Linked DNA regions of Drosophila melanogaster. The protein of the gene in region 4 interacts with the protein of the main gene of each other region in a pairwise test. Each region holds a gene or a part of one and is shown on either strand. Other genes may lie near its edges. The genes, in order: c12.1, GstE1, CG8617 and CG11964.

Region 1 (5,196 bases), on a different chromosome or scaffold from region 4:
TATTCATAAATACCCCTAGTTTCACTCCATTCCATATGTTTCCAAACTTTGTTGACTAGTGTGCGCGGATCATCATCGCTTTTGCCAGCTATGGGCAGGCTAATTTTGTTTGATTTTGATTCAGATCGAATTAGCGTAAAATTGAGCGTTCGTCAACTTTTGGGAGCGGGGTCGCGACCACTCACTGATCCCTGCCAGCGCCAAGGGGGGGTGGCAGGCATCCAGTCGGATGAAGATTCAGGTTGGGATTTAGATTCGAACTCGCAGGCGGAACGTGGGCTCATTGACAAAGTCGGAGTTCAGATCATCAGATGGCGCAGGCCGCGTGCGGGGCATTAAAGAGGCGTGGAAATCAAGACCCACCGGATGATTTGCATTCGCAGTGGCTTCTGCTGCACTGGAAACAATTATCACTTCGATTTTGAACTTTTAAATGAGAAATAAACAGAGTGCGTTAGAATTTGTACAGGTATTCTTGCGCATTGCCCATCTAAGCATTTTTCAATCAAATTTGATGGATATTATGCAGCTGCTGTAAAATTAATTTTTAATGTTTTACCTGCATTTCGAGCAGTGTAGCTCTCGGCGTAATTGACCAAGTTATTCTGCGCTTGCTTGGCCCGGCTCCTTGGGGCAAATTGATTTTGCTTCGTGCCTCATCAGCAGCGACAATTGCCCTTGCCCTGATCGCCATGATGATTGGGCTTCCTGCGCTTCTTGGGCACTTCTTCGTGCGCTCACGTAGCAGCTACCCCTCTCGCCCCTCTTTCCAGCGCTTACCCTTTTCCCTGACCCTGACCCCCCTTGACATCCTGGCCCGCCGCCTCTGGTGGCTGCTGCTGTTGTCCCTCGACCGGCTACCGATGTTTTTTGCGGTTTCACACTTTGGTTAAGGTTCCTGCCCTTCGCACTCGGACTTCCACTCGCGGTCAGCCGCCAGTCATTGGGTCACAGCCCGCAGAAGGAAGATGGCCCAAAGTGCCTATTCGTCAAATAAAGTCGACCTCAATACGAATTGCTAAATAATATGAGTGTATGAGTAGGTTCTTATTTGGATTTTTAACCAAACACAAAGTATACAAAGCAATAAACCAATCGCCTATGGAACTATTCTGGCTAGCATTCCATTTAATTATTCCAAAAATTAATTACATAAGAAAGATCTTATACATACTAAAAAATATGTTTCTCGTTTAAAGAAATTTATCATTCACTGTTCAAAAGAAAACTGAAAAACTTAAAAAGCAAATGCCTTACAAAATGGTCAGTTTGCTACGTACGAAACCAATCGGTATTTAGCTTAGAAAGATTGTTTATGATTATTGGATATCAGAGTTATCTTACAAAATACGAAATTTAATGAACAGCTTGTGGGGGGAGGGGTGAAAGGACAAAGAGGGTTGACAATTGTTTTACTTAAACTATTACAAAAAAAGAGCGCGGCTGAAACTTGAGAGCGAGTCCCAGATGCTGCCTACTTAATGTACTTGTCCATGAACTTCTTGTGGAAATCGGAGCGCAGGGCGTCATTGACGAAGTGCGTCTTCTTATCGGGCGCAGATCTGGCGCAATTCTTAAAGACCACATCATCGTCCCAGCGGCGCTTTATCTTTAGATCACCGCCCAGTCCAGAGGCACGTCCCGCTGCCGAGGCGGCGGTGCCGGGCTCATAGTTCATCAGTGGATTGCCGGACAGGATGTTCTCCATGCGTATGCGTTCGTCCTCCTGCTTCTTTTCCGACTCGCGACGCGCCGTCTCCTGCAGACGTTCCTGCTTGATCTTCTGCAGCTCGGCCAGCAGGGCGGCATCATCGTCATCGGAATCGCTGTCCGAATCGGAGCTATCGTTGTCCAGCGGCTCATCGGCGTCCATATTGGCGGCCTGCTGCTGAGCCGCCTGCTGCGCTTGCTGCTGCCCTGCGTCCGGCTTGGAACGCTTTGCGGCACTGCTGCCACCGCCGGCGTTGTTCGCCTCAATCGCCTTGCGTACAATGGAGGGCAGTGCCTTGCCCGACGACGACGAAGTGGCTCCCGTTCCGGAGCGCGCCTCACGTTCGCGCTCCTCCAGCTCCTTGCGGAAGTCACGGTTGCGGTTCTCATCGCTGGTGCCCTGGCCAGTCTCCCTGCGCAAACACAAGTTCTCGTTAGACAAGGAAATTGTTATGTGGGCTACTATTAATCCTTACCTGTATTTCAGTTTCGTGTGGCCTGGCAAATCGCGACTGGAGTACTGCTTGCTCAGTGCACTCAGATCCTTTTCGCCGCGACCGGATCCTCCGCGGGCTGGATCGAAGGTCGGACGCGCTGCTGTGGTCATTTTCAACTAGCTAGTTATGCGTTTAATTGTTAAATTGATGAAAAGTGAAATGAATTTCCGAACTGCGTGCTTTGTTTGATGTATCAACAGTACCAATAATCGAGCCGTACCACGGTCACACTGACCGATAGGCCTTTCGATACACGCTTAGTGCGGACTTTAACCGTGATAAGGGCGGCTATTGCTGGGCATCACTGGAACATCAGCTGTGCGCACCAATGGGCAGCATTGTTACGGTAAACACGCGCGGAGCACCGCCGTTTTATCCGACAAACAAAAAAACGCTGAAAAACAAAACTTTTCGGCAACTTGAAGCGATTTTAAGTTTAGTTTAGCCAACCCCCTGCTATCCATCCCCCACCGACGGCCATGCTGGCCAATTTGCGCGCCTGCAGCGGCCACCTGTTGCATCACAGCCTCCGAAATGCAAGAATTCCACGACGAAGCTGGGCGAGCACGACTGCTGGCAAGGATCAGCCGGAGGAGGACAGCCTGACCATCGGCGATGTGAGCGTGCGGCTGCGCAAGCCCAAGGATCCGCAACTGGTGCCGCAGCAATACGGTGAGCAGGGGGATGCCGGGAAGTGGGAAGCCAAGATCTCTGGACAGTGCAAAGGTCAACATAAAGATCTTGGTGCCGCAGAATTATTTCATCATTATCATTATATCATGTCATTATATCATCTTTGAGTAGCAGACACATCAAGGATTAAAGAGACCACGGATCTAAAGCGAAGGAATGAATGTAAAACTCATGGTCATCGAGAAAAGACCACTATAATCTCAAGAAAATTCCTATGTGAAAACAAGCTACATGCTATATTTCATAATTGGCCAAATCGACAAATTATATGAGGCACAAGCTATCCGAACTCGAGACTTAATAAACTCTGTATTTGGAGGACCAAATGATTTATGTTTTAACACGAACCTTTCGTTCTTGTATCCATCCAATCCGATAGTGAAATACGCATCGGATGGCACCCTTCAGCTGTCGCAATCAGCACTGCACCACCTGCGCTGGATGCTGCAGAAGGATGCACTGCGTCAGGACATGTTTCTACTGGGGCAACCGGGTCCGCTGCGCCGCCAGCTGGCCATGCAGTTCCTGGAGCTGACGCAGCGCGAGGTGGAGTACGTGGCCCTCAGCAGAGACACCACCGAGAGCGATCTGAAGCAGCGACGTGAAATCAACGACAGGGCGGCCATCTTCCACGATCAGGGAGCCGTACGAGCGGCGCTCAATGGCCGAGTTCTTGTCCTCGATGGAGTGGAGCACGCGGAACGCAATGTCCTGCCCATACTAAACAATCTGCTGGAGAATCGCGAGATGCACCTGGAGAGCGGCAAGTTCCTGATGTCGCCGGAGCGTTACGATAAACTTCTAGAGGTATGTTAGCTGTTTCCTGTGTGCACGTTCCTAGTCCTCTGAAGCTTGCTAATCCTCATTCTCATTTGTTTTAGAAACACTCGCGGGAGCAGCTGGACGAATGGGGTCTGCTACGCGTATCGGAGCAATTCCGGGTGGTAGCCTTGGGTCTGCCCACCCACAAGTACAAGGGCACGCCACTGGATCCACCGCTGCGCTCCCGCTTCCAGTCCCGCAACGTGACCACATATTCGTACGGCGAGCTGTACGAGGAACTGCAGCAGGAGGCGCCTTCTGTGCCCGGCGAGCAGCTGAAGCAGTTGCTCACCTTCGCCTTGACCCTGCAGCAGGCGGATCCTGTGCTCCAACTGCCCGACTTTCCCATCCACAATCTAGCATTGGGTGTCAAGATGCTGGTAGGTGTACCCCTTCACATTTCCGTATAAAATACTTACTTTTCCTTCTGCTTCTTCAGGCGGCTAATCCCTCTCTGAGTCTGCACGACGTCATCAGTCGCATTTATCCATATCAAACCATGCTGAAGCCCGACCAGAAGAAGCGTGTCGAGGAGCTACTCAAGAAGCTGGATATTCAACTGGTGCCCAGCCCGAGCATCAAAAAAATCGAAGCACAGTCGCAGGAAAACTCCCTGATCCACATAAAACTGGACGAATTGCAGCTAAATTTGCCTGAAGGCCAGATTCCTACGGCTTCTACCTACTTTGTCGATCTACCGCATCAGAGGCAAGCTCTCGCCAGTCTACTGCAAGCGTATGCTGTCGGGGATGTGTGTCTCGTGGGCGAGAAGGGTGTGGGCAAGCTGACGCTGACCCAGGAGTTGCTCCGCCTCCTGCAGCAAACCTCAGAGCCCATGATGCTGTACGAGGACATGACCAGCAGGGATATCGTCCAGCAGCGTATCACAAGTCCCCAAGGAGACACCGTATGGAGGGACTCACCACTGGTGCGAGCTGCCAAATCGGGATCTGTGGCGGTTCTAAATGGACTGCATCGGCTACACAAGAGCACGGCCAGCGTTCTGCAGCGGTGAGTTAGAAATAGAAATAGCTTCATTAAAGTGATATATTCTATGAAAAATGTCCCATTTCAGGCTCATCCACGATCGGGAACTGCAGCTGTGTGATGGCACCACTCTTCTGGGCGCAAATCGCTACCAGGCACTGCTACAGCAGGGATTCTCCAAGGAAGAGCTAGGTAAACTTGGTTTTCTACCCATCCATGAGTCTTTCCGCGTGGTGGCCTTGGCGGAGCCACCGCGTCTGGGCGGCGGACAACCCAGCTGGCTGACACCCGAGCTGCTCAGCCTGTTTCTCTACCAAGAACTGCGTCCCTTGCGTCAGAGCGAAGAGGCGGAATTGCTGGCGCAGCTGTGTGGTGGAGATTTACCTGCTGGTATGGATCAACTGCTGAAACTGGCCCAACTGCTGAGATCTTCACAGGATCCGCTGCTCCAGGGACTGGCGGGCACCCTCTCCACTCGGCAACTACT
Region 2 (4,889 bases), on a different chromosome or scaffold from region 4:
ACAAATCAGTTGTAGTACTATTCGATTTGATTTGTTTTTATGGTATTTATGGCATTTGATGGTATTTTTTTTTTAATACAAATTACTATTGCTCCAGATTTAATACGGGTTTCAATAAATTGATATACTTCTTCAAGCCCCGCAGATTGTCTTCCTCATAGTGGGGCAACTTAGAGAGTCGTTCGAACCAAGCAGCCACCTTTGGATACTTTAACTCATCCAGATCAAGAACAGCGGCCAGCGAGGATGCAGTAGCTCCGCAGCATAAATCAGCTATGGTCAGTTGCGACCCGGTCAAATAGGGATTATCCCCTAGAAAGTTCTCCAAATGGCCATATGCATCTTTAATGTTGTCCACCTTCTCCTTGGGTACCAGGCTTACTTGGCGAAGAAAATAGGGTATACTGACATTTCGCAGCGACATAAACAGAATGCTGGCATCAAAGAACAAACGCTGATCCACCTGGGCGCGCAACACCAGATCCCTGGGATATAGCTCATCCGAATTGGCATACTTGTCCACCAGGTAGCAGACAATAGCATGTGAATCCCAGATAAGGGCACCATTATCTTCGAGGAGTGGTACGGTGTGCTGCGGGTTCTTTTTGAGGAACGCATCCTTAAAGTGATCTCCTGCCAGTAGATCCATTTCCTTGTATTCGTAGTCCAAGTTTAAGGCCCGCAAGGTCAGCTTGCAAGCGCGAACAGGAGGACTAATATCCATGCCATACAAAACCAATTTATCCGACATGATGCGATCACCAGAGAGACCCAAGTTCCACTAAATTTGCCACACACAGAAATCTAAACGAGCTTAACTAAACAACCCAATTGGGTGCGCTGAGCTTGCCCCATTTGTATCTTAAATAAACTTTTGTAATTGTACACTGACGATATCATAAATGAGCGATAAAAATATTACGGTCGGGTTCCCCAACTGTGAGATAATAATTACTGACTCAAGTCCCATATTAAAGTTTATAAATTTCAGTATTTATTATAAATTCAAATATTTAAATAAATATAAATTAAATAAAAAAATAAATTAAATATTTTATATATATGTTATATTTTATTGAAGAAGTTTACGTTTTAGAAATGGATGTGTATGTTGTTAATTGATGGAATTCAAACTTGTGAAATGTCATATTTAAATATAAGTTTAGTTTCACTTGTCGCCCAGCTTGGTCCACTTGCTGCGCAGGAAGGCGACGTAGCTCTGGGCCGGAGCTTCGTTGATCTCCTTGTAGTAGGGCAGCTTATTGAGGCGATCCAACCAGGCGGTGACCTTGGGATATGTAGCAGGATCTATGTCCACGGCAGCGGGCACGGCGCTTACAGTGGGTCCGGTGGACAGATCGGCTAGGGTTAGCGAATCGCCGGCCAGGTAGGGGCTGTTGCCCAGGAACGTCTCCAGCAGCTTCAGACCCTGGTGTACGGCGTCCAGTTTTTCCTGGGGCACTTCGGTAACACCGTTTATCCAAAACGGGCGGCTGACATTGGCTATACTGGCATAGATTACACTGGCATCGAAGAAGAGACGCTGATTGACGATCGCACGCTTGGCCAGATCCTTGGGATACAGCTCATCCGACTTGGCATACTTGTCCACCAAGTAGGCGGCAATGGCATGGGAGTCCCAGATGAAAGTGCCATTATCATCGAGCATCGGTACCGTGTGTTGGGGATTCTTCTTCACATATTCCTCGCTCAGGTGCTCGCCCGCCTGAAGATTCACCTCCTTGTACTCGTAGTCCAGATTCAGGACCTTTAGGGTAAGTTTGACGGTCCTCACACAGGGACTGAGATCTGTCCCATAGAGTACAATTCCAGAGCTCGACATGATACGTGTTGTTTACCCGTCAGTGTTTTTCTTTCGACTGATCTCTCTATTTACTGTACATATATACACACCTTATTGCCTCAAGCTTTTTGCTAAATGAGAGAGCATTTCGTAAATCTAAGATAAAAGCTCGAAACCATGTGTTAAACAGTTAAAAAAAAACCATATATATAATATGTATGCCTATTTCATCATAACAAACATTAATTACCCCCAACTGATAGTTCTGGAATCATCTATATGATACTAATTTTAAAACACCATATGCAGTGGTGAACTACAAAAAACATATACTCATCAAAAACAAAGTAGGTCTCTGTGAACTCAGGAACATTGGTTGTCAGAAGAAATTAATTTAATACAGTTACTTGTTTTATGATTTATTGTAATATACATCTATTTGAATCATGTAGAACCCATGTAAATTTACAATTCAAGTCTTCCTAACGAAGCTTGAAAGTTTCTAAAAGCTTAAAGCTTAAGTTAAGCTGGCATAAAGCTTATCGTTATTTTGGATAAAATTGTATGATCTGATACACAGAAGTAATAATATTAAACTCATAATTTTATAATTATATTTATATGAAAATGTTTGCATAGAAACACTGCTAATGAGTCTGGTTACTTTAGGTTTCGTTTGGACGTTTCTAGCAGTGTATATAAGTAGCCCCTTTGGTGCTCCAACTATGATCAAATAAATCACGGGGACATTGATCAAATATTGACACAGCTAATAGATAGCAGACCGACTTATCCCGGACATTAATAAACAATCAGGCAAACTTAAACTTGCAGCATTATGACGTCTTTGTGGTAATTATCAAGAAACTAAGTTTAATATCTAATCTTATCGCGTTTGAAAGAAATTTAAATTATTTAGACTGCCTTGAGTCAGTTGTGGATGGCACACTGTCTGCTACGAATCTCAATTCAACCAGCTAGAAGGCAATTAGTTAAGCAACCACAATGGCTAACCTGATTCTATATGGCACTGAGTCCAGTCCGCCGGTCCGTGCCGTTTTGTTGACCCTTCGTGCCCTCCAGCTGGACCATGAATTCCATACGCTGGACATGCAGGCCGGCGATCATCTGAAGCCGGATATGTTACGCAAGAATCCCCAGCACACGGTACCCATGCTGGAGGATGGTGAGTCATGCATTTGGGACTCACACGCCATCATCGGCTATCTGGTGAACAAGTACGCCCAGTCGGATGAGCTCTATCCAAAGGATCCGCTGAAGCGAGCTGTGGTGGATCAGCGGCTGCATTTCGAGACCGGTGTCCTTTTTCACGGCATCTTCAAGCAATTGCAGAGAGCTCTGTTCAAAGAGAATGCCACTGAGGTGCCCAAGGATCGTTTGGCTGAGTTGAAGGATGCCTACGCCTTGCTGGAGCAATTTCTGGCGGAGAATCCCTATGTGGCCGGTCCTCAGCTGACCATCGCCGATTTTAGCATTGTGGCCACCGTGAGCACTCTGCACCTGAGCTACTGTCCCGTGGATGCGACCAAATACCCCAAATTATCCGCCTGGTTGGCACGTATCTCCGCATTGCCCTTCTATGAGGAGGACAACTTGAGAGGAGCCCGCTTGTTGGCCGATAAGATTCGCTCCAAGCTGCCCAAGCAGTTTGACAAGCTGTGGCAAAAGGCCTTTGAGGACATCAAGAGCGGAGCTGGAAAACAGTGATGCGGAAGCCATTGTCGCATCGAAAAGAGAGCATTGCCCAAAGTAAAATTGTATGTTAAATGGTATTTAATATGATGTATTAAAACTTACGCTGCTGGCAAAATGATTTAAAATGTATATTATGTTTGAATAATCTTCTTTTTTTCCCAGTGTATAGGCTCACTATATACTGTTCTGAGTTAACTGAAGACTTTGTAGCCATCTAAGTGCTCTTGGCCGGTAAATGTCCTTGATGGCGAACATTTTTTTTATGTTGTATATAAATTACTATCTAGCGTGGAGTGCATTTCCAATGGCAACGCAGCCAAAAGTTTACAACTTTTTTGCGCTCATTAAAATTATAAAATTTTACCCTCCACAAAAGCGACACAAAATAGAAGAGGGCGGGGTAAATGAAAAGCGCAAAGTTTTCCTGCCGTGTCGTGCATGCTAAAGTTGTTAAATCATAATTAATTTATGACGGCGCCATCCGCCCAAGCAGCTAGCCAGCCCAGCTCCGCAGCAAACCCAACTCGCCCCCGTTTTATGCCACTTCCAAATTTGCCTCTTATCTGCGCTCGGGTCTCGAACTCCCCGCCCTTCGCTTGCTCCAAGTCCACAAAAAGGACGCGCCGTCGTTTAAAATACTCTTAAAAAAGGAGCCAAGTCTAAATACCTGCTGGGTGAAGTCCGTTTCCAAGCCCCACGGAAGTCCTGCAGGAGATGCTAACGTGAGCGGAAATTGGAGTCACGCAATCCGAAGATATTTCTTATGAAGCAAAAATTCCAAAACTTTTTGTTTTTATTTTGCAGATGTATGGAAATCTATAAAAAGTACATGAATTTTCCATTTGTTTCTTACTTATTTTCAATTTCTTCCCTACTTATAAACCTTTGTTGGCCTTAAAACACAAATTTTTTTAAAGCATTCCCTTCCTATTTAAGCCCCAAAGAAAAGAAAAAAAATCATAAGCTTTAACGTTTTTAGAAACTCGTGACTACTTTGTGGGCATCTCAGGAACTTACCTTGTGTCGCCGCGTTTTATGCGCCTCATTGCAACGGCGACGAGAAAGTGGTGGCAGGCAAACTAATTGGTTTAATTTCAACTTTTACTTTGGCCCAACCAGTCAGCATGCCACCCCTACTTACCCCAAACTCACCCCATCTCGCCCCGTCCACCAACCAACCCCCACATCCTTGCCAGCATGGCTCCCCGAAAATTCCACCCATCGTGTCAGTGGCATTTGAGAAGTTTGCTTTGCTTTACGCTCCGCCTGCCACTTCAGGACGCTTTTACTTTTTCTTTTTCGCTTCTACAGGATTCCACTTGGCCGGTTTATTTCCTGCTTTTTATTTTTTTTTTTTTATTTTGCTCAC
Region 3 (5,374 bases), on a different chromosome or scaffold from region 4:
TATTGCATTGGGCAAAGGCGTTGCAGGACACCCAGGACAAGCTTTTCTGGGACGAGCGAAACGGAGCGTATTTCTTCTCGCAACAGGATGCACCCAATGTTATTGTGCGACTCAAGGAAGGTGAGTGGGATAGCTTTTAAGTACACTCTCCAACAATATCTGATTTCCCGAAATTTTGTTAAGACCACGATGGAGCCGAACCTTGTGGAAACAGTGTATCCGCCCACAATCTTGTCCTACTGGCCCACTATTATGACGAAAATGCCTATCTCCAGAAGGCCGGGAAACTACTGAATTTCTTTGCAGACGTATCGCCCTTCGGACACGCTCTGCCAGAGATGTTGTCCGCCCTGCTGATGCACGAGAACGGGCTGGATCTTGTGGCAGTGGTGGGACCGGATTCGCCAGACACCCAACGATTTGTGGAAATTTGTCGCAAGTTCTTTATTCCAAGCATGATCATAGTGCATGTGGATCCCTCGAATCCAGAGGAAGCCTCCAATCAGCGCTTGCAGACAAAGTTTAAGATGGTGGGCGGTAAAACTACGGTTTACATTTGTCACGAGCGAGCTTGTCGAATGCCAGTTACCGATCCGCAGCAGCTAGAGGATAACCTAATGGCGTATTTCTTCTCAAAACGTGATTAGATCCGGAAATTTACTCGAAATGTATTTTAAGAACTTCTAGATGTTAGTTAATTGTTATTGATTTGCTTCAAAAGCAAACAAAAAGGAGTTCTCGGAACTACATAGTGTTAAGATCCCGTTATTAAAGACCCCAATAGACTTGCGACTCCAGCTTATTTCACTGTTAAGTCTGAGAGACTGCATTGCTCCCTAAGTGTCTAGAGTTGGTTAAAGTTGTTGTACAAAGGCCCCTCTTCTTATTTTCATGGTATAGCTTATGTAGATTTTGAACTGCAAGGTTCTCTCCAGTTTAAAACCTATCATACCCATCCATTTGAACGAGAAAACGAGCCTGACAGTGACTAATAACCGAAATAACCTTATACATGTCCATATACAACGTTAATAAAGAAAACATACAATGTGTATTCGTTATGTAAATAATCGTTAAGGTTGGAGTAAAAAAAATCACTAATCACATCACACCATAAATGAAACCAACGTCGAGTAATCTCTCTTCTCGAATACAACACGTTTTGTGCATTTATTGGAATCGTTCTGTTCGTGGAGCTATCAACCATTCGGTGGTCGGCTGCACCTGCTCCGCCCCAGAGGCGTAGGCGTAAAACTAGGCTTTAAACTAAATGCGTGCCATGCGCTGCGTCCGCGATCCGCCACCAAACCCGATCAAATGCAGGAGTGGTGCTGGGATCTCGAAGGCCACGGCAATCGGCGTAGAAGGAAACTAAACGTATGGAGAGAACAGTTCGGTAATCGGTAATAATAATCGTAATAATAGTAGTTTGTAGTAATTAAAATAATTTAGTTGAAATTCACATTCATCACATTGGTTGGCCGACCATCTGCCATGCCTCATTCTCAACTGTTGCTGTCGTCGTCGTCCTCGTCGTGGCCTCCGCCTCTCAGGTGTCTGCATCATTGAAGCTCATTGCTGCATCGAAACTATCCACGATGGTTTCCATGCGCTCATGATGCTCAAATCGGGCGAACTTTCGCGCAAATTTCCGGCCGGATCGTGCGGTACTGTACCTCCTCGAGAAGCGCGCACGCCGAAAGAAACGGAAGCGCGTGTCCTCCTCCTCCTCGTCGTACTCCGGCGCAGACACGGAATCCTCGTCCGTTTCGCGCAGAAATTCCTTCGGATCCCGATGAATCTTAAAGATCTTGGTGGCCGTCGCCCCGTTTAACTTCGATATGGTGCGCGAGGCATTGAGTATTCCACTGGAATTCGAAATGGAATTGCTGCGGTTCTTAATAGCCGTCAGCCGGTTTGTGATGGACACCACGTTGAATAACTTTGACAGCTCCGAGTCGACGCAGCGCGATTCGCGACGCAGGTTCTTGCCATTCTTTACGTAGATGAAGTGGTTCAAGGGGCTCTGGCTCAAACTTTGGCTATCCAAGGGATGGCTTCCAGCGGAGCAGGTGGGCGAGATGGAGACGGATACGGAGTTGCTGCTGCCGCCGCACCCGCTGGTCAGCAGAGTGGGCGTGGAGGGCGGCGCTGGCGGTGGCACATGCGGCATTGTGTAGCAACGCTGGCGGCCCGAGCTCAATGAGGAACCCCCGCCCGCCGGCCCGTCGTACAGGTTGGTCACGTTGTAGCGGCTCAGGCGGCACAGCGACGTGGACTCCGGTTCCAGTTCCGCCTCCGGGTCGTGGCTGGTGGGCATGTCCATGGCCTGTGCATGTGTGTGCGTGGTTTTTGGCCAGGTTTTTCGAGTGGGTGGAGTGTGGCGAGCGGCGAGTGGAGAGCGAAGAGCAAAGTGGTGTCGTGTGTGGTGCGACGGGGCGAAAAGAAAGGGCGTTGCAGCAGCCACTGGATTAAACCTATTCATTTATCTGCGGACGCAGTGCATCCACTTACCTGCAGCAAGCCTTCGACCTCCATGTACTGGCTGTCGGTGGTGAGACGGTGTGTTTTGTGCATCAGTTGTTGATATCAGGTATATTGATTAGGAAATATATAAATAAAGACTGTCATCGATATTTGCTTCCACCTATCGGGCTGTTGTACTTCGATATCAGCAGGCTTTATTTATGTTAGACAATCGGGACCCACGGCACGTCGATAATTGGATACTTGGCGATATCGGTATTTCGGCGGCGCCACTTTCTTAACACATTTTTCAAACAAACTTTTTTCGAAAGCACACACAAAATACACGAGATATTGTTAGTTAATTTCAGACCGTTCCGTCCGACCTCGAAACTGCAACTGTATAAAATTAAAATTACTTTGACACAATGACTAATGATGTAGCATAATTTATTTAAATATCATCAAAAATGTAACAAGATGTAATCACACAACATCTGACTTCTGATTGGGATATTATTAGTAGAAAGTAAATCCAGTTAGATTTTAAGTCTGATTGTAGCCACTTGAAATTATTATACATAACGTCTAGAAGGGCTGAGACATTTAATTATATTGAAATAAAGAAACCAGTTTTAATATCATTTAATGTTGTATTTTTATATGGCATATTGTAATATTCATTTCATTCGGTGGAGCATTTATTAAATACGTGAGCTTTGTAGAGCTTGGCTAATTGCATTTTTTCTTATATTATATCAACTTTTGTTTAAAAAAATGATTCCCTGTAAAAATGTTGTCCCATCCACCCCATAAAATAAAAACAATTACGCAGTTTTCCGTTTCTGAGTTTAATGGTTGTTTTCTAGTTTCAGTCTTTAGTTTTACAGTTTTATATTTTTAGCAGTTCCACGCAACCACTTGTGGTCTTCCATAGGCCCCCACTCTGGGTTTCTGTGTGGGAATAGCGGGCCAAACTATTGCTGTGCTTGTGGCCAAGATTCCAGTTGATGGCGCACGGTGCAAGTCTGGTCAGCCGGGTCAGTTGGCTGGTCGCGCCTATGTCATCTGCACAAGCGGCCGGTTTTGCTTGGTGTGGGGGCGGGGAATGACTGTGCCGGCTGGAGGAGCACGGCAGTGACGCGTTCCAGCCCCTGACGTTTGTGTGTTTTGGGTTATATACTGGCGTGCCGAAGCCTGTCGCGAAATCGCTTGGGTCGAATGTTAAACAGCCCTAGGCCCGTGATCTCGAAGAGACAGTTTTGGCGTGCCAACCGCACGGATGGCGAATCGTTAGCCATCGTAGTGCTATGTGGGTTCGAATTGTTTTGACAAAAGTCAAAAAATTTGTTGGTTTTTTAAATCTCCGAAGAAATTTAGGTTTTGCCCGGCTCACGCCCACTGTAGCTCCACTCGCACGGGGGACATCGCGAAGGGTTGCGACACCGGAAACCGGAAGCAGCCGAAGCCGCTACCGGAAACGGGTGGCGCCCACCTTCAGGGCCGTCGAAATCCTCCTGCAAAAGGATCTAAGTGGGCATTCACCGGGCGGGGGGTTTTTTGCTAGCTTCACAAAGGACCAGGATCAGACGAAAAATCAGCAAATATATGGTTACAATAGCGATGATTGCCATGTCTCTCAACACAGTGATCATATCTTTTGATAGCCAAATAATCGCTTTTTCTCCGCTGACCGGCACAAAGTGGAGCCGGCGGTTGTGAGAATCAACGGTTGTGCGGGGCGGCTGGAGATCAGGCAACATCCATTTCAGACTCGCAATGTCAAAACATAAGATTCGAAGAAAATGGAGCTCCATGCCGAGGCACTTCACCCGCCATTTGGTTCGAATATCATATTCCTCCATTGCGAATAACCGATCTTACGGACGAAATGCCAGATCCTCAGCCGCCCCGCCCGATGATTCTCGAAATCTAGTTTCTAGTTGCAAATAAAGGTTCAATGTTGCAATAAAAATTATTGCTTTCCAAAAGCTGGCGTTCTGTGCCAAAGTAGCCGCAAGTCGGCGTGAAATTATATGAAAATAGAGCCGTTTTCGAGGCATTGCGAATAGCAATACAAACAGCGTGGATTTGTGGATTTCAGAAGCTAGTCGAGGCTTACCGGCACGCCGATTGCCAGTGAGTATGAAGAGTATGAAGAGATGTGGCTGCTGTTGCTGCTGTTGATGTGGCTGCTCCCCATCTCCAGCTCTCCGGTTGTTGGGCTCTCTCTGACGTCGATCGGCTGGCGAGGCTACGAAAAGTTCTGTTTGGGTGGGCGGCAGCAGCGATGAGGTCATCAATGACGTTGGCTGCTGCCTGTTGGTATTTGATGTTCTTTTTGTCGCCTACTCCTCGTGCTGCTCCTCCTGCCGATCCTTCTGGCGCTTACGGCAGTTGTCGAAGGTGTGCCCCCGGAAACTGCAGTAGGTGCAGCGGGTGGTGCGCTTGGAGCCACGGGTGTTCTTTGCTGTGGCAAGCTGTTCCTCGTCCTCCTGGTTGTTGTGCTCGATGATGCGGCCCTGTTCCAGGAGATCCTTGAAGGTATGGACACTGTGGCGGGAGATGTGCTTGCGGTACTTGATGTTCAGCAGACCGAACAGAAGATCCAGTTCCGTTTCCTCGTCGTGGCGACCGCTGGGCAGCTGGGCCAGCAGCGCTCGCTTCTGGATGACGAAGGTGTCAATGGGGTCATGGTCGTCCTGCTTGTTTTGGAAGAATTCCATGTAGATCTGGTAGGCGGGCTTGGTGGGCGAGAAGTGTTCGCGGATGAGAGCGATGGCTTCCTTCCACGTGGTGGCCTCCTTGCGGACGCCTTGCCACCAGGTGCTGGCCATACCGTAGAACAGCAGCGAGATGCCCTTCAGGGCGTTCTCGTCGCTGATACCTTCTACATCCTTGTATGTCT
Region 4 (5,854 bases):
CTGCGCGATTGGACCCAGGAGGATCCCAAGGAAGTCGAGGCTGCCAAATACAATCTGAACTACATTGCCCTGGATGGCACTATCGGCTGCATGGTGAACGGCGCCGGTCTGGCCATGGCCACCATGGATATCATTAAGTTGTATGGCGGTGAACCGGCCAATTTCCTGGATGTCGGTGGTGGTGCCACTGCCGAGGCGGTCAAGGCCGCCTTCAAGATCATCACTTCCGATCCGAAGGTGCTTTGCATTCTGGTCAACATCTTCGGTGGTATTATGCGTTGTGATGTCATTGCCGAGGGTATCATCTCCGCCACCAAGGATCTGAATCTGAACATGCCCGTGGTTGTGCGTCTTCAGGTGAGTTTTCATGGATGCATTTATCTGACTTGCTGAGATATGCTAAACAAAACTGGTTTGCATTGCAGGGAACCAAAGTCAAGGAGGCCCGCGAACTGATTCGTACATCTGGACTGAAGATTCTGGCCCGCGATGATCTAGATAAGGCTGCCGATCTCGCCGTGCACTTGGCGCAAATCGTCAAACTGGCCCGCGAAATGAAGATGGACGTGAACTTCGAGATTCCCGATGCCCAAAAGTAGATAGCTCCATCAGTTACCGGCTAAGTCAACACTCATAAGCACACGCAGACACAAAATGAAAGTCGACAAAAAAGTAGAACCAAAACCAAACATTTACTCTAGCCACACGTAAACTACTCAATGAAACTATGCCATCGGTTCGTAGTTAGAGCATTATGTATTCGTAACGATCGGTCGAACAATTGATGAATTAATTTTGCAAAAATGTTAAGTTTAAAGCTGTTTAAAGTCCTAAGGATATGTCATAGATAATTCGAATAATCGAGCAAGTTGAGTGTTCTCTTTGCACCTAAACAATTTCTATATTGTATCTTAAATAGTCAACAACATTAATTGCACGTGAATAATAGAAAATGGAAATGAAAATACGTTTTAATTGTGATTTTTGCAAAAGTTCATTTAAATTTTATTTATTGAAATGTGACCCTGCTTTTAAAGCAGATCCATCATCTTGTGTATTATCCTATTTAGTTTGCTTTAAATTAAAACACCAAACAATCATACACCGAACCTGGCTTTTGCGTTATTCAAAGACTGCTTAAAACAGTGCGTTTTAGTTCATTTTTAAATAGAGTCTTACTAACTTTAATCACTGCACCTTAGGGGCAAGGGCGATTGCAAGAAAGATCAAAAACAGCCCGACAGTAAAGGTGGCAAGAAGTCGGAGAAGAAAGATGACAAGAAATCTGATTGCACAAAAAAAGAGGAAAAGAAAAAGGAAGAAAAGAAAGACATTTGCGAAAAGAAAGGTAAAAAGTAAAGGGATACAAATTTTGTAATAAACAATGCAGGATCGAGCCGGATGTGTTTGAGACTTACACCATCAAAAAGAAGGAAGCCATTGTTTAAATTCAAAATCCAAATTTGCCACAAAAGTTTCATTGTTCAAAATTTTAATCTCAAATTTCAGATGTAAACTTCTGACCCGCCACATTTTTAAAGATTTTCATAATATTTATGTTTTGTTTATTGTGTGTTGAGCCTTAGAAACGATCGACTAGAGATAATATGTGGTTCTGCTCCTGTTCCCGCCAGTCGGTGTCGCCATCGCCCAGGTTGCCAGCGTATTCTGTGAATGAATTTGAAATTTGAACATCTAAGTTTTACTGGGCATTCCATTTGTGGTTTACCCCTCATTATGCTGCGAATGGTCTTCATGGAAGCGCCGCGCAAGTTAAGGATCTGCAGTACACGCTGCTTGACGGTGTCGCCAGTGGCACTGACCTCCAGCAGGATGTAGTCGATGCGCTGCAGCGTGAACAGCCCGCCGGTCAGTCGTTTTATATAGTTATTCTCCGCCTCCTCGTCCTCATCAATGGTGGGATCCTATGCCATGATATTGGTTTTCAATTGATTAGTTTATGGTTACACATAAAACTTCATTTCGTACCTTAGCCTGCTGATCGATCTCCTTGTCTATGGCTTCCACCTTGGCCAGATACTTGAGGTGCAGCTCCAGCAGGCGATCCACCTTCTCGTGATCATTCTCCGTGAACTTGGCCAACATTCGCTGGCGGTGTGTGCCCTTGCAGTTTCGCAACATTGATGCGATTACGGAGGTCACATGCTCCTCATGCTCATCGGCGGAGATTAGGCGCTGCTTGTTGCGCTTGGGGGTTTTCATAAAGAGTGGGAAGATGGTGCGCAAGCCGAGAATTTCGACAAACTTGTTGCAGTTGTCTCTGCCATCCTGGCCAGCCATGGCATGATCCAACACCTTGAGCGATCCATTTCTAGACATCTTCTTCTCGCGCAGCATTAGGTTCATCAGCTGCAGACCCTCGCCGCTGAGAAAACGATCGCGATTCTCGCGGGCCATCAGAGCGGAACAAAGGCAATTGAAGAGGTTCTGCATGTACTCCTGCTCCTCGTTGCTAGCGGGATCGTGTCTCTTGTAGACAGCCAGCTGCTGGAGCAGCACATCCACGCCATCCAGAGAACCCAGCAGTAATCGGTTCTCGTTCTCCGTTTGTATAAGTATGGAAAGTATCTCGCTGCAGTAGAGTTTGTTGGGATCGAAGGGCGACTTGCCGCGCAGCCGTTTCAGCAGCCAGGCGAGCAGTCCCTGTTCAGCGGCTTCCTTCACGAATTCCGAATCGATTTCGGTAAGATTTTCCACTATGGCCAGCGTATTATGCACGCCATCGGCTTCCTCCTTAACCTGTTCGTTCAGTCGCTCCAGATTCTGGACAAGCAGAGCACAGATTTGCTCTTTTCTCAGTGCTTCAATCAAGGATTCGGCACCCTCTTGACTTTCGCCCAGGATATCAACATCGGTCACTTCTTGCAGCAGATCTACCACGGCCACGGCTATGTCTGTGTTCTGATGTGCCAGCAGTTCGAGCAAACTGTGCAGGCCGTGCAGATCCACGAGAATTGGATACAGATCGGGCACCGTGGCCACGCCCTTCAGCTCCTGGATTACCGTGTGCAGCTCCACCTCGGAGTCCATGAACTTCTCGGGACTGTCGGCAAACTTGATGCGCATCTCCTGGTTCTTCAAGTTACGCTTCTCGAACACCAGTATCAGTTTCTTCAGGCTCTGCTCATCCAGAACATCGCCATCGGCCTCCTCGTTCTCCACGTACTTCAGGATGTTCAGGCGTTCCTCCTCTGTCAGTTCCGGATCGAATTCAAAGGCGGAAGTGCCACTGCCACCGGTGGCTCCTCCACTTTGCTTGACATAGTGTGCGGACTCCTTGGCATCGGCGATGCGCCGCATGCGTTTGGTTTTCTCATCGACACCGCCCCGTTTTCCGTGCGAGCTCGCCAAATCGAATTCATCGTCCTCGTCGTCGTGCGGACGCTTTGGCGTCTGTTCCGGCTACAGTTTGGAATGGTCCAGGTGCATGAATATCATTGGTATTATCCATATATTTACCTTAAACGCCAGCAGTTCGCCGATGTCCATTTTTGCGGGCCTTAAAAAACAATTAGTGCTGGAACGTTAGGCGATTCTTCAGCGATACTATCGAACGTGAACCGCACGTGAATGAAGATAGGTTCAGAACCATGATAAGCATGACTTAGCGGAGACTCAAGCCCTTTAACCCTTAGAAGGTGACATCATTATTTTGTTTGAATCATATTTAACTTCAAATTAATTCATAATTCTGATTTCAATTTGTGATTTAAATTTGTTATTACCTACATTTTATATAAATCAAAAATTAATTCAAATTTTAATTCGCTATTATATATTGCTTTTCGATATTTGTGCTCTTCAAATGTTACTTGAATTATAAGATTTTGTTTAAATAAATATATAATAATAATAATTACTAGGCAATTTTACAACATTTTATAAAGCAAAGCTAACAATCCTAAAAGAGCTTTAATAAGTTTAAAAACCTAGAATATGGTTTATAATTTCTGTATTCTTTAAATAATTAATACTTTTAATATGAAATTTAAAACTAGCAACTTGAACCCATTAAACATTTCTTTCGCCCACCCAGCCTCCCAAAAAGGGGCCTTTGGCTGTTTTAGCCCAGCGCCTGCGACTTTGACGACGAGTTTACATAAATTCCTAAAGGCCAAGCCCCAAAAATAAATTTACAACTGCTTTAAGCTCTGGCAATTCAACAAGTTGTTCGCGTCTATGAGTGTATGTGTGTGTGAGTGAGTGTGCGCTAGTGTGTGTGCTTTCTTCGAGCCAGTCTTTTTTTTTCAAGTCAGTTCGTCAGCGTGATTTGGCGTTGTTGTTGCTGCCTGTGCAGTTGCCATTGGTAGTGGTATTGGTATTAGTATTGTTGCTGTGGCTCCTGCCGCTTTTTTACTTTTTTCTGGCTTGTTTCATGCTGACCCACTTTTAGTGGCAATACGTGAGCCCGAACAGTGGGGCAAAACCTTAGTGAAAGCTTCGCTGTAAAAGAGCTTTAAAAATAGAAAATATATGGGAATTTTAAAGTGATCATATAAGCTATAGCTCAATTACGAAGAATAATAGAAAATATTTTAAAAATGAAATTACCTTATTTTCACTATATTTATAATTGTAAAAGTGCTTAGATTAAATTCAAAATAAATAATGAGTTTATGGATTTTGGCCACACTGTGCCGGGCAAAAAAGTCATAAACTGAATTGCCAACAGGTTATGGCGACTACCACGAAGACGACGGATGGCTTGTTTGCTGTTTTTGTTGCTGCGGCTCGACTGCGGCGGAGTAGTAAAAAGGGCCATGACAGTGACACTTTGAAGTTTGAGGTTAAATCGTCAATGTTGTTGCCTTGGTCTTGCTCTCTGGCTGGCATTGGTTGCTGTGTGGATGTGGATGGGGCTGTCTCACTTGGGGAATATACCCATAATATTTTGTGAGGCATTATTGTACCGCACATCGAATGCTGCCTTGCACTGCACTCCATTCAAAAGACTTAGGCAGCGAACTTGGAAAGAAATTACTTTGAACTCACGCATGCTCGCACGTTTTTTATGTTTTTCTTATTAATTATTTTTTTTTTTTGCCTGCCTGTTTTGCCGCATCTACACTCACACACGAGCTGGGATTTGAAAAGTGAAATTTCAAAGTAGAACAAGCGGCAACGGCAGCAACAACGCCGCACGTTTGGAGGTTCCAATAAAAATGGGGTCACTTGTCGTTGGCCAGTCGGTTGAAGTAGTAGAGCCCCCCCCCCCCTCTACCGAAAGCCCCTCGAATAGCCAACTCGGAACCCCACTGACCATTGATCGCATAGATCACGCGCCGTCTGCTCATGTTGTTGTTGTTCTGTAGTTGTTGCCGTTGTGCATTGTAAATTAATTGCAGTCGCGTCGCGTCTGTTTTTGGATTTTTTGGCTTGAACCGTTCTCAACCAGTTTTAGGCCATCCATCGTGTGTGCCATTAAAATGCAACACGAACTTGACAACGGAACGGAATAAATGGTGAAATATTTCTCTTCGAGCTTAAAGACTTTCCCTGTGACTAGATATAAGTTCTGTAAAGTGATTGTAAAACCTTTATGTCAACATACATACAAGTTATATTCATTTCGCTTTTGAATTTGCATCCGGTGTATTCTTGCCTTTGATCTTGTTACAATCATTTAAAAACGGTTAGCCTTCTACATTTTTGGATCGTAAAAATAATCAAGTTTAATCGCGTATTTCATAAGATTTTCGTTGTGCACTGTTTGCTTTTGCTGCTAATTAATGTTTTCTGCAGAGCGCTGCAAGAACAATAATAAAACCAGAACAACACTTAAATATTAATAATTGATTATAATGTTATTACAGACATGATTTATTCTCGCTAG

Evidence for each region.
Region 1: the proteins of CG11964 (region 4) and c12.1 interact in a two-hybrid assay, tested with the Drosophila melanogaster proteins (one large-scale study listed by BioGRID).
Region 2: the proteins of CG11964 (region 4) and GstE1 interact in a two-hybrid assay, tested with the Drosophila melanogaster proteins (one large-scale study listed by BioGRID).
Region 3: the proteins of CG11964 (region 4) and CG8617 interact in a two-hybrid assay, tested with the Drosophila melanogaster proteins (one large-scale study listed by BioGRID).

Annotation. Positions count from the first base shown.
Region 1 is NC_004354.4:9,316,806-9,322,001, forward strand, and holds c12.1 (c12.1), read right to left. Parts: upstream 2,419-5,196; 5' UTR 2,318-2,418; coding exon 2,187-2,317; intron 2,124-2,186; coding exon 1,475-2,123; 3' UTR 1,110-1,474; downstream 1-1,109. Other genes in the region: c12.2, read left to right, coding at 2,687-2,879, 3,012-3,062, 3,280-3,707, 3,782-4,102, 4,162-4,733, 4,798-5,196. UniProt on the Drosophila melanogaster protein: Involved in pre-mRNA splicing.
Region 2 is NT_033778.4:18,395,386-18,400,274, reverse strand, and holds GstE1 (glutathione S transferase E1), read right to left. Parts: upstream 1,883-4,889; 5' UTR 1,844-1,882; coding exon 1,169-1,843; 3' UTR 1,052-1,168; downstream 1-1,051. Other genes in the region: GstE2 (glutathione S transferase E2), read right to left, coding at 86-751; GstE10 (glutathione S transferase E10), read left to right, coding at 2,810-3,532.
Region 3 is NT_033778.4:14,354,622-14,359,995, forward strand, and holds CG8617 (uncharacterized protein), read right to left. Parts: upstream 2,661-5,374; 5' UTR 2,578-2,660; coding exon 2,515-2,577; intron 2,330-2,514; coding exon 1,550-2,329; 3' UTR 1,148-1,549; downstream 1-1,147. Other genes in the region: CG8613 (uncharacterized protein), read left to right, coding at 1-120, 184-647; Arc1 (Activity-regulated cytoskeleton associated protein 1), read right to left, coding at 4,815-5,374.
Region 4 is NT_033777.3:8,941,476-8,947,329, forward strand, and holds CG11964 (uncharacterized protein), read right to left. Parts: upstream 3,546-5,854; 5' UTR 3,511-3,545; coding exon 3,481-3,510; intron 3,424-3,480; coding exon 1,990-3,423; intron 1,926-1,989; coding exon 1,730-1,925; intron 1,669-1,729; coding exon 1,583-1,668; 3' UTR 1,479-1,582; downstream 1-1,478. Other genes in the region: ScsbetaA (Succinyl-coenzyme A synthetase beta subunit, ADP-forming), read left to right, coding at 1-357, 426-595, 1,203-1,359.